Neurospora crassa OR74A: one gene and its partners. The protein of the gene in region 2 interacts with the protein of the main gene of each other region in a biochemical or structural test. Links are inferred from orthologs where the notes say so. Each region holds a gene or a part of one and is shown on either strand. Other genes may lie near its edges.

Region 1 (3,450 bases), on a different chromosome or scaffold from region 2:
GTGCCAGCTGCACAGGCTGACAAGTCCTTCCAGCTCTCCAACGTCATTGTGTCAACGGCATAAAGTCCAACTCCCTTACAAACCTTAAGTGGGGAGAAGGGGGGGGGCGGGGGGGGGGGGGGGGGACGACGGGTACCCCAGGTTTCTCCGCAAGCGGAGCGTGGCTTGCAACCTTGCCGTGAGGTTAAAAACTTCTTGACAAACTGAAGACACAGATAAAGCTAGTGATAAATCCTGTACGGAGTATCTGACTGAGACTCTGTAAACTGGGTGCCCGATATTCTAGGTTTTCCGGACGTGAACTTCCCGTGAAATAACTTTTTGCTATCTTTTCTTGAAACGCATACCTCTCCCGCCTTGGTCGAATCATCTGCGATTGAAGATGACTCTTGAGGGTTCATCCCACTGATTCCACTACTCCCCGGCCGAACTCGACCGTGAGTTTGGTAGAAGGGAGATCTAGGTCCGAGACAGCAAGTATTGAGCACAAAAGTTGGGGGAAACGGACTGATGCATCGGGCGCAGCGTCGGTAATTTTTTTTATTTTTCTTAGACTCTTGTTCCTCGATCATGAGTATATAGAGCAGCCCGAAAATTGAATCGTGCGCAGGATCGCTATCAATGAATGAACTCCCTCCAAATGCCGCCACAAACAATGAATTGGTATCCCTAAACTCCGTGTCCCAGGTCCAGCAAAACAGAACTGCTCTCTCTTTTTCACCAAGCACCCTCACATTCGTGGGTTCCCAATCTATGGGGCGGCATTCTCCCGCACGACGCGCTTGATCCGACGTTCATATTCCTGACGATCTTTCTTGAAGAGATTGTACGCCTCAGCCTGGGCTGGGGACTCGGGATTGGGGTCATTGAGCAAGTCCTGGATGCCGAGCAGGATCTGCTTCATCGTGATGGCCGGCTTCCATGCCTCTTCTTCGTTGAGGATCGAGAGACAGACCGTGCCTGATGGGTAGACATTGGGGTGGAAAAGAGGGGGGACGAATTTGCCTGCTCAGACGCCAACATGTTAGCCATGTGATCGTAGCAAGGGGGGATGGACGAGGGCTAGCTTTCGGCGTACACTTGGGGGGTTTCGTGGGATATTCTGCATGCAGGAAACGTCAAGTCAGCACGTGTATTCTTCTGACTAAAGACACCGACCGGTGCAGGGCGCATACCATCAGGGAACGTGACGGTCAACTTGAACAGACCACCCTCCCAGATTGTCTTTTCTTTGCCCGGAATACCACATTCCCAAATCTTCAAGTCGAGCACACCCTGCTGGTTCTTCTGGGGACGGGCATAGAAGCCAAAGGGATGGTCCTTTCGCCACTGCTTCCTAGAGGGAGAGAATAAGATTGTCAGTCTGCTGGACGTAGGTACACTGTTGCGCAATGCTTTGCGGCGTACCGTTCCTCTTGCAAGCGGTTCTGGCACAGCGCCATGGTGGTTGACGAGGTTGACGTTGACGGGGTTTGGCGTCGGTAAAAGTTGAGCGGTGGCTGATCAACGTGGGATTCGAGTGATCCCTTGGACAAACTGAATGCGACGACGATTCAACTTCGACGGCCGGCTTCTTGCTAATGCAATGACGGCGCCGAGAAACGTGGGGATGCGGCTGAAGAGCTGCTCGGGTTGGTCACGGGGGGGATGGGCGCGGATCAGAAGGTGGAGTGTGGGAAGGTCCTCTGCAGGTAAGAGATCCAATCCTATGGGCCACGCGATATGTAGCAGCGTGGAGTATGTACTGCGTAGTAGCCCCGCAAGGTGAGAGGTGAAGGTGATTTGGGGTTTGTAAGGCCAAAAAAGAAAAGATGAGGGTTCGAATATCTGGAGTATATGCGGGGAATGATGCGCAATCCGAATGGAACTATGTAACGAAGTGTTTCCTGGGAAGGGAACCGACTGTGACTGATGTGGTAGACTTCGAATCCTAACGAGGCTGGAGGGAAGTTTCAGTTTGCAACGAAGTGACAGCAAATCGAATGGCAGGCGACACGCTCATTCAGTTATTGCCTGCCGGGCTCGGAGTTCCTGTCGCCTCGAATCAGGAAGGCGGAGAGTGGGTGAAGTGAATGGCATGGAAGCTCTCCTCTGCTTAACTTGTACTCCGAAGCTTGTCAACGGCATTTCACATACAGTAAATGGCCCATTTCAGTGACAGCGTGTAGGCTCCAAAATGAGCTTGATCCGCAGTCACACTAGCATCAGAAGATGGGATGACAGCGAGATGCCTGTTAGTATGGACTTTAAGTGCTCAAGCAACCTGATCAAGGAATATTGTCTGAAGCTGGAGGTGGTGTCCCTCGGCACACAGCGTACCCCGGTGGGCAATGGTGGGGTAACCGCCCTGTTCAAGCAGAGATGCGGGAAAGCGCCATGAGGAGTGAGCCGAATTGCACATGCAAAGGAAAACCCCCTCGTCATCTGAACCCTTCTGGATGTCAATCTCCATCTGACTTCTCTCCCTTCCATGTTTTCTTCCACTGATCACCCTTTCTTTGAAGGTTTTGGTTCGCTATACAATTCTGGATTTGCCTATCCCAGAGAGATTTTGTATACTCTCTTGATAGACCACTCCGCCTTGCATTAGCTTGGTTTCTACCTCAAACAGACAACTTCCCGCTTTTACCTCTCTCAAAGAGGTCGTGCTTCAGCGTGGGGTCAACCTTTTGCCCGAGCATCTGCTTCGTCTGTCGGAACGAGGCGCATCCACGACCGATCGACGTCTTTGCGATTTACACAACATTCTTACACACTCATACCGCACAATGGCTTCGAATAACGCCGGCGCAAAGGAGGAGGTGCCCAGGAAGGCCACCGTGGCCGACGAGTTCGACGATGACGTGTCCGACCCGGATGAGGATGACCTGGATGACCTGGATGACATGCTCGATGAGTTCGCCGCAGTAGACCTTCAAGCCAAGAAGCCTTCGGGGCCAGCAAGGCCAGACGCCGCTGGGGCAGATGGTGCCAAGGGGGAAGATGATGTCCTGTCCGAAGAGGAGTTTGCGAAGCAGCTGCAGGCCGGCATGGCTGATCTCCTCGGTGACATCGAGAACTCGGTAGGCGCAAACAATCGCAATATCCCAATTTCTGCGGCTCTAGCTAACTCTGAGCCAGCCTGAGCTACAAGCCCAGTTCGAGAGCATATTCAAGGAGCTAGGCGCCGCCGCCGCTGCCTCGGGTGCCGAAACACCTGGTATTCCCACCCCAAAGGCCGAGACTTCGACCAAGACTCCTCCGTCTTCTTCCCGCAGAGCCTCGGCCGCGGCCTCACCATCGAGCAAGAATGCCGAAGCTTCCTTTCAAGAGACCATCCGACGGACCATGGAGCGCATGCAGACATCTGGCGAGCAGGCCACGGCCGCTGCCGCAGCTGAGGGTTCCGATGATTTCCTTGCTGAGCTGCTCAAGCAGATGCAGTCGGGTGGCCTTGACGGCGAGGGCAGC
Region 2 (4,185 bases):
TGGGGTAGGGGTCGAAGAAGTTGAACTTGGAATGGCAGGCGGCAAAAAGCTGCTAGAGGGTTGAGAATCCTGGTTGAATCGCCGGCGAAGAGACCGGTCAGAGCCGGAGGACATCCTGGACCGAGCGAGCACCCTGGAGGCAGCCTGTTCGAGAGCTAGGTTGCGACTGATGCGGTCGTGGAATCTTTCTAGAGCCTCAAATCGTTCTCGGGATATCGCCGTGGGAGATCTCGGCGGAAGGGCATCGGGTTGGGCGTTATTTTGGCGAGATTCCGAATCCCAGGGCGACCTTAGAGGTCGACTGTCGGACTAGGGTACAAGAGAAGGATGAAAGTTAGTACTAAGGTGTAGTACTCGCAGGTAACAAGACACCAGAAAATGTGTTCCTGCAGCGAGGTGGTCTGGGTGTAAATCAGAAGCTTACAGCTTCGAACTGGGCTCATACGCCATATGTCGAGGCGCCAGTGCGTGTGGAAGGCGCAGAGAAGCGGCAGGTTTGATAACGCGGCGATATGTTAGGTTTGGATGGGGGCCGTGGAAGCGCATATCAGAAAGGGCAACTTACCATGAAGCTTGAGGGCACAAAGACCAGGGGGGGGAGGCGCAAGCGGGGAGGTAAAAGGAATAGAACCCGGCTGGGACAAGACAGACCAGCGTGCGAAAGATAGGAGTGGCACAATAGCGCTTGAAAAAAGAGATGGTTCAAGTAAACAAAATGTGCAGAAAAAGAAGGCGAAAGTCAAGGGTCAAATGTCAAATGTCAAAATGATCACGGAGGAAAGAGTGTTGAAAGTGGAAAGGATTGTAGAGTGGCCGATCATCTTGTAGTGTACACACTAGACCCGGCCGTTGCACGGGACACCCTGAGACGAGAGGAGGAGTCAACCACGGGCGGGCAGCTGGGCGAGCCAACACCATCCATATCCATATCCACCGAGAACCTAGGTACCTATTCTGGCATGGAGGGTAATAGGTACCTTGTCCTTCACTGACGTTGTGGGAGTGTAATTGTTAGCATATACTTGATGAGGCGCCATAGTGGCCATGATGTGCAAGTACCACTTTAACTGGCGTCATTTGGCATCGGGATCTACGATACGTATGGATGTTCACTGAGTGTAACCCCAAGTCCCCGTCCAAACCACAAAGTGCATTCCGTTCCCTTCTTCTTCTTCTCGTTGCAAAGTTACCTTGGTTGCTGGATTTCAAACTTGATAACGGGTGGCGTTTGTAGCATCTATTGGATCCTTAGCGAAATCATTCCAAAAGATCCAAGAAGCGCGAGTGTTTGCCGTTGTCCGATCTTACGTATTACTCAGTTTGTTAATGGAGATAGTCAAGTAAAACCGCCGAAATGCACAGGCCTCTTCCACCTACTTTTGCACCACGCGTCTCAATCTCAACACCAACCACCATCCTCAACTTGAGATCGAACGGCCAATAGTACGGCATGCGCACTGATATCACTGGTCTCAAAAAAAAACCTTGAACCCAATTCTAACTATTTTGCTGTCAGAATCTAGAAAAGGCAACTCTTCGCCAAGTTTCCAAGTTTAGTTCTCGGTCTAGGAACCGAATCGTTCGCTTGCCCGCGTTCCTTCACCTCTCACCTCAACTTCACCACCTACAACCACAAGCGCAAATATCACTTGGCGCAAATAACCAAAGGGGTCGTTTTTGTTCCTGGCCACAACAACCAAAGTGTCGTCCTTAAAGAGTCGTTGTCCATCATGACTACCACCGAGACTAACGGATCTGGTCAAGAGGCTTCCCATTCGGCTGCTGGCATCAGTGCAGGCAAGTGCTTAACCCTCCTTATGTCTGGAGATAGGTTACGAAACTAACCCCCTCAACAGATGAGATCGCCCTCTATGACCGGCAAATTCGACTCTGGGGCATGAAAGCCCAAGAAAAGATCCGCTCTGCCAACATCCTTCTCATCACCATGAAAGCCCTCGCCAACGAGATCGCCAAGAACCTCGTCCTGGCAGGTATCGGCTCCCTGACCATCAACGACCACGCCGTCGTCTCCGAAGCCGACCTGGGCGCGCAATTCTTCCTGTCCGCCGAGGACGGGCACCTCGGCCAGAACCGCGCCATTGCCGCCAGCGCCTCCCTCCAGCGTCTCAACCCGCGCGTTAAAGTCATTGTCGACACGGACGACATCCGGACCAAGCATTCGTCCTTCTACTCGTCGTTCGACATCATCATCGCCACCGACCTCGACGCCGACACCCTCAACGTCATCAACACCGCCACCCGCATCCACGGCCGCAAGTTCTACGCCGCCGGCTCGCACGGTCTCTACGGCTTCCTCTTCGCCGACCTGATCGAGCACGACTTTATTATCGAGCGCCAGCGCTCCAACCTCTCCACCACCTTGGGTCCAGAGACCAAAACCCGCTCCATCGTCTCCGTCGCGCCCAAAGAACCCGACAACAAGGACTCCGACATCGAGCTCGTCACCAAACGCGAACTCTACTCCACCTGGCTCCTCGCCTCCTCCGACGCCTCCCTCCTCCCCCAAGACATCCTCTCCTCCCCGCGCCGCAAACGCGCCGTCACCCCTATCCTCAGCTGTCTGCGTGCCCTCTGGCAGTTCACCTCCACTTTCGGCGTCCCGCCCACCGGGCCCGAACTCTTGACCAACCACACCGCTCTCGCGGCCTTTACGCAAATGTGCAGCGACAAGCACAAAGCCCTCGGCCTGCCCGCGGAGACGTTGCGGGCCGAGTTGTTGCGATCGTTCCTGCAGAACGTGGGCGCCGAGCTGGCTCCCGTGGCGGCGGTGTTGGGCGGGCAGCTGGCGCAGGACGTGATCAACGTTCTGGGACAGACGCAGCAGCCGATTCAGAACTTTGTGGTGTTTAGTGGGGAGAGCATGGAGGCGAATGTGTATGCGTTGCATCCCCGCGAGGGAGAGCTCGGCAGAGGACTGTTGCCGGTGACGATGGGGGTGATTGAAGCTGCGGCGGAGGTGTTGGAGAAGGAAGGACAGACGACGGATTTGATGGGGTTGGGTGGACAGCATCTCGGGGGCGGCCAGCAGCAGCAGCAGCAGCAGCAGCAGCCTTCGTCTCAGATGGAGGGTGTCGAGCAACAGCAGCAGCAACAGCAGCAGCAACAGCAGCAGCAGCAGCACGCTAATGGTGTATCAACTGAACAATTCACGGGCGCTGGACAGCAGCAAGAGCAGCAAGGCTCTGGTGCCGGTAACGCCTGACTTTCTCTTCACTTATCAAGTCGATTAGGTATTCGCATTACTGGCTCACTCCCCCCCCCCCCCCCCCCTTTTTTTTTTGTGGCTTGGCTTGGATCCTATCTGGGGTGTGCTTGGGAATCTAGAACGATGCGATGCAGGGCGTTCGTGTGGTAAACTGTAATTCAATGGCTTGCGGACAAACGAGAGAATACATGTATGATGAATGTAGCAACAACTTTTTAGACAGACAGACAGACTCATGTTTTCTGTGGATGAAGGGTCACATATCTGGCTGGTTAGGATGACTAGTAGCTAGACTGGCGAAAATATGAACTTGGGTGTTTAAAAAATGAAGCCACTCTGCTTTGTTCCTGCTGAAAGTAACGTGTGGCAATATTCACTCATGAGAACGTTATGGCAGTTGGAGGAGTTCTGTGAGAGAGGGTGTGTACAAGATCACCACAATGTCATGTAATCAATCCATTTATACATATCTCAATGTATGATGTATCTGAAAGCAACTAGTAATTCTCAAATTTGTATTCCCTGGTTCTTGATCAAAACCTCAATAATGCTTTTATGCTTCCGAACTCCTGTCTTGTAGCAACCGAAAAAAAAGAAAACCAGAACCAAAACCAAAAGGTCAAATCAAAGACAACAACTCCATCCTATCCAGCGCAATGTTGGTATATACGCTCCCCACGGTTGTTTCCTTCCTTCCTCCCTTCCGCTCTTTCTTTTGTTATGCGTGAAGCAATGCAAACTAAAAAAAAAAAAAAAAAAAAAATGCAATCTGTTATGTCGTAGTTTTGGTATTTGGTATATCCAGATGCACCTTTGTCATGGCTCTTTTGGCCTATGGCTTTATTTTGATGAAGATTCTTCTTGCTCTTCTTTCCATCTCCAAGATGGATTCTGTGTGGTGTAGCCAACCAGCCAAGCAAACCAAGATTGATTCCAACATCCCTCTGTACTTCTCTGTC
Region 3 (4,184 bases), on a different chromosome or scaffold from region 2:
GTGCTGTCTGAAACGACACACCGCTTCCCGTGGGTATCTGTGGCTAGTAGGTATAGCAAGAATAGCAAGCAAGCCATGTGGTAATCATAGTATATACCGACCATAACTACGGCCTACGGTAGCAATAATGAACCGCGCACAAGACACGGCAAAGGGGTGATGGAAGATCAGTCATCATCAATCACGATAGCTCCCGCACTATCCTCGATAAAGACGATATCGTCATCCGCCGCCTTGTCGTTGGCCTTGATCTTCTTGACCGATGGACCCTCTGCGTCTTCGGGGTGGCCGCGCTTGAGCGACTTGGCTGGTGTCGTCATTGGCTCATCGCCATCAAGGTTTATTACTCCTCCGTTCTGGCCGTTGGATATGCTGGCACCGTTGGTGGCAGCTGTCGGCGTAGCCACTGGCTCAGGCTGTGACTGCTTCTTGGGCTTGAGTGGGATCTTGACGTCCTCTGGGTCGAGAATGCCCTTGACTGGCTTGTCACCCAGAGGCTCCTTGCTTTGAGGGTGTTAGTTACGAACATGGGAGAGAAAATGGGGACGTACGCTTCTTGGATGGCAACGACGACGTTAACGAAAGGTTCCTCATCGTCTTCGTCGGTGATGGTCAGGAATGAATCGGATTTGATGCCTGTACGATGTTAGCAATTTCCATTGCGATATGGGTAGCAGCTTCCACTGTAATCTGAGTAGCAAAACATACCCAGCTCCGAAAGCTTCTTCTCCAGATTATCCGTCTCATCCGGGTCGTACAGAATGCCAACCTCGTTACTAATAGCGAAATCCTTCTCGCCATACCCCAGATTCGTCTTGATCAAGTGTTCTACCAAATCGTTCAACGTCGCCTTCTCCAAATCGACATACGCTCTCGTCTGGTAAACACCGCAGACCGGGCAATCAGGGTTAGGCTCCCGTGACTTGTCGGACGCCAACATACGTGCATTAGCAAACGGCGTAAGGAAAACCTCCTTGGCCTGCTCGTAGTGGCCCTTCAGGACCTTGAATGCCTCCAGCACGCAAAGACCGGCGACGATGGCGTTCGTTGTCGCAATGGCAGGGATAATGTTGCCAGCCATCTGCTTAATGTCGAACTTTGACTTTCTGTCAATACCGAACACCGCTGAGCGAATGTTGGCACTCGCGGCGACAAAGTCCAGGGTATCCTCATCGTCCTTGTCAAAGGTGATGATGGATTCTTCACCGGCGCTCTTGTTCTCCAGAACCCTCTTGCTAAGTCGCTCGAGACTGTCATTGAAGACGACGAGGTTCTCTTCCAGCGACCACACCTTCTGAGCATCCTTCAAAACCTTGTCCTTGTCGAGCGACTTGGCCTTATCGAGGAGTTCCTTGTAGTTGAGTGGCTCAGGCGGCTTGCGCGTCTTCCACATGTCCTCCATTGAGCGCAACCGCTCGATATCCGTCTTGAATACCTTTTCGAAAAGCATCTGCGCGAACTCTTCTGTACCCACAGAATTCCTGATCTTTCGTAGCGCCGCCGACTCGCGTTTGAGCTCCTCGATCTCCTGCGCATTATCACCATCAACAGTATGATCGAATGCTGACTCGTCTTCGCTCGCTCCGAAAATCTCGTTGAGCAAGTAGCTCTTGCCCCACACTATACAGTGAATAGGCTGGCTCGGTGTACTGCGAATCGTGCATACGGGGAATGACTTTGGCGTCTCCTTGGGCGCGCAATCGTAGCAGGCTGTGACACCCTTTTTGATGACTTGTACCTGGCCGTTGAAGCCGGTTGTTCCACTTTCGATGAGGGGGACGTCGGCGGCAAGACACATCTTGTTGACATGGCGACGGGCTTCGAGGTTGTCGAGCGCGTTGAAGACTATCCGGAAACTGCTGAACCACTCGATATTGAACTGCGCATCTTTGATGTTCGCATGGTGGGCGACAATCTTAACGGCGGGGTTGAACTTTTGCGCAGCCTCCTTGGCTACAAGTGCCTTTGATTTTTTGATATGTTCGTGACGAAAGAGAAACTGGCGGTTGAGGTTGGAGAGATCGATGGTGTCGAGATCGACGACGTGGACTTCACCGAAGCCGGTAAGGACGAGGTTCTTGAGGAGTTCGCAGCCGATGCCGCCGGCGCCTACCATGAGCACGCGCGCCTGTGAGGTGGTCGTTAGCAGAGTCTCGGGGGTTTCTGCGGGAGCTAGCGCGAGAACCGCTTCGGCAGTCAACTGGGAAGTCATGATGGTGGTTGTGGCGCGACGAAGGCAGGAAGGAAGCGTAGATTTGGAATTGGAGGGGCGTTCGTAATGAAGTTCTATAGCAATCCGAGCGATGCCAGTTGCGACGGGGATTGCGACAGCATTGGGAGGCCTTCATTTGTTGCCGAGGAGACGACTTGGGATGAATGAAGGCACGTACCTGCTTGACATTTGCATTCAAAGACCGCCCTAATGATTGCGAATTGTAGCTGTCCCGCGTCAACACCGGCAAGGGAATAGGCTGGGCAACTGGTGCTGGTATTTGCGCCGTCATGGGGACCATGGGATTGCCCATTGCGGGATCCATGGCGAGATTTTGAGGAGGCTTGCGCCCGAGGAGCAAGAGGTGCGACCAGGCTTGAAGGTGGTTCGGGGGGTAGTATTATTTCACGTTGAGCGGGCGGTCACTGTATACCCAGGACAAGATGAAGCCCAGGGCAGAAAGAGGTGAAGAAAATTGAAGCGGAAATTGAAAAAGTTCAGCCTCGTGGATGCAAACTGAAGGCAGTCAAAAGTTGCAACCACCAGGCGCTGAATCGGCGACAGGCAGACCGGAGTTCCTTCCAGGTCAAGACTTCAGCACTTGCTGGGTGGTAGCGCGTCATAACTCCAGCGACACGCTAAAACCGATTCCGGGGTTGGCCATAGACGATCCTTCGACCGGCAGGCACACGGCAACGCAAGTGCCGCGTCTTATTGGTCGCCCTGCTGCAAGCTGCAACCACTTTGTGTTTTTGTGTTGCGGTGGGGGGGTCCACCCATACATAACCCTGAACAAGTCAACAGAGGAACATCATGCAGACAATGAAAGATTGGCTGGTCTGATTCTGAATGGTTGGAGAGAATGGAAAAACGACACAGTAGGGTGAGCAAGACGATATCGAGGATATCATATCTCTCACCGTAAAATTGACCGTTTGTTTTCCCCTCGAGCTTAGGATATCGTATTCTAGAAATCAGTCAACCCATCTCAGGGTTAACCTTGCCCCCTCGACAGTCAGTGTCAGTGCCAACCAAACTCTCAAAATGCAACCTTTCCGTTTTCCCACTCCCTCCGCCCTGACCCCCTTCCTCAGACCTCCTCTTCAACCCTTTTCTTCAAAATCCCAACACATCACTCGTTTCCTTTCAGTCCCTCTATTATTTCCTCACCTCCCTTCACCCATTTCTCTCTCTCGTCCCATCCACACCACCACCACCCCCGTGAATCGAAAAATGTCATACTCCTCCGACGAAGACCAACCCGACCCCGAGCTCCTCGAGCTCCTGCGTCAACACCTCAACGGCAACCAGTCCTCCCACACCGCCGCCGAGACGGGCGTTTTGGAGTCTGCCGAGTTCGTCTACAACCACGCCATTGACGTGGCCCTAGACATGCGCGGGTGCAAAAAGGCCGCCAACACCATCTGGGACCAGATGCAGCAGCGGGAGTACTCGCCCGCCACTTGGTCGACGCACGCGCTCCACCCCAAGGAGAAGAACGAGGAGACGGTCAAGTTCATCTTCACCATGGATCTGCTCAACTTTTCGTTTTGGAGCGAGAAGAGCGAGGAAGACCGGTTCCAGGTGGAGTACAGAGGAAAGAGGTGGACGGGGTACTGGAGTTTGGTGGCGGCGTTGCAGCGGGGGTTAGAGGAAGGTTTGTGGTCTTTCTTGTTCTTGAAGTTTTTTTTTGCTACTACTGAGGAAGATGCTGTTGGAGTTGTATCATAGTTATGTAACAAAGCAAAGAAATACAAAGGAACCCTTCATTGACACTTGTTTTTTGAATCTTCTCGTCCAGGAATCCCCATCACCGATCCCGCATTCTGGATCAATGACGAAAAATTCACCCCGGACGTCCTCCGCACCGTCTTCCGGTCCGCCACAGACGAGGAGATCCCCCTCCTCCAAGAACGATTCGACTGTCTCCGTGAAGCCGGCCAAGTCCTCCACGAGAAATACGATGGTTCTG

What was found.
Region 1: of the proteins of NCU09006 (region 2) and NCU04302, one has a biochemical effect on the other in vitro, tested with the Saccharomyces cerevisiae proteins (3 studies listed by BioGRID, with this or other methods). The link is inferred for Neurospora crassa OR74A from reciprocal best matches to the Saccharomyces cerevisiae genes AOS1 and UBC9.
Region 3: the proteins of NCU09006 (region 2) and NCU03526 form a complex in vitro, tested with the Saccharomyces cerevisiae proteins (2 studies listed by BioGRID). The link is inferred for Neurospora crassa OR74A from reciprocal best matches to the Saccharomyces cerevisiae genes AOS1 and UBA2.

Annotation. Positions count from the first base shown.
Region 1 is NC_026505.1:5,554,648-5,558,097, reverse strand, and holds NCU04302 (ubiquitin-conjugating enzyme E), read right to left. Parts: upstream 1,943-3,450; 5' UTR 1,443-1,942; coding exon 1,408-1,442; intron 1,337-1,407; coding exon 1,176-1,336; intron 1,103-1,175; coding exon 1,079-1,102; intron 1,006-1,078; coding exon 752-1,005; 3' UTR 501-751; downstream 1-500. Other genes in the region: pex19 (peroxin), read left to right, coding at 2,769-3,062, 3,121-3,450. UniProt on the Saccharomyces cerevisiae protein: E2 ubiquitin-like--protein ligase mediating SUMO/Smt3 attachment to septins and PCNA. Seems to be involved in degradation of S- (CLB5) and M-phase cyclins (CLB2).
Region 2 is NC_026503.1:4,195,556-4,199,740, forward strand, and holds NCU09006 (NEDD8-activating enzyme E1 regulatory subunit), read left to right. Parts: upstream 1-1,359; 5' UTR 1,360-1,730; coding exon 1,731-1,797; intron 1,798-1,856; coding exon 1,857-3,223; 3' UTR 3,224-3,553; downstream 3,554-4,185. Other genes in the region: NCU09005 (hypothetical protein), read right to left, coding at 1-309, 566-568. UniProt on the Saccharomyces cerevisiae protein: Could be involved in a ubiquitin-related process important for DNA damage tolerance.
Region 3 is NC_026502.1:357,165-361,348, reverse strand, and holds the start of NCU03526 (ubiquitin-activating enzyme E1 3), read right to left. Parts: upstream 2,809-4,184; 5' UTR 2,538-2,808; coding exon 2,391-2,537; intron 2,188-2,390; exon of another isoform or gene 2,129-2,187; coding exon 709-2,128; intron 637-708; coding exon 552-636; intron 505-551; coding exon 168-504; 3' UTR 12-167; coding exon of another isoform or gene 1-11. Other genes in the region: oar1 (3-oxoacyl-[acyl-carrier-protein]-reductase), read left to right, coding at 1-11; NCU03527 (hypothetical protein), read left to right, coding at 3,257-3,869, 4,014-4,184. UniProt on the Saccharomyces cerevisiae protein: The dimeric enzyme acts as a SMT3 E1 ligase. It mediates ATP-dependent activation of SMT3 and formation of a thioester with a conserved cysteine residue on AOS1.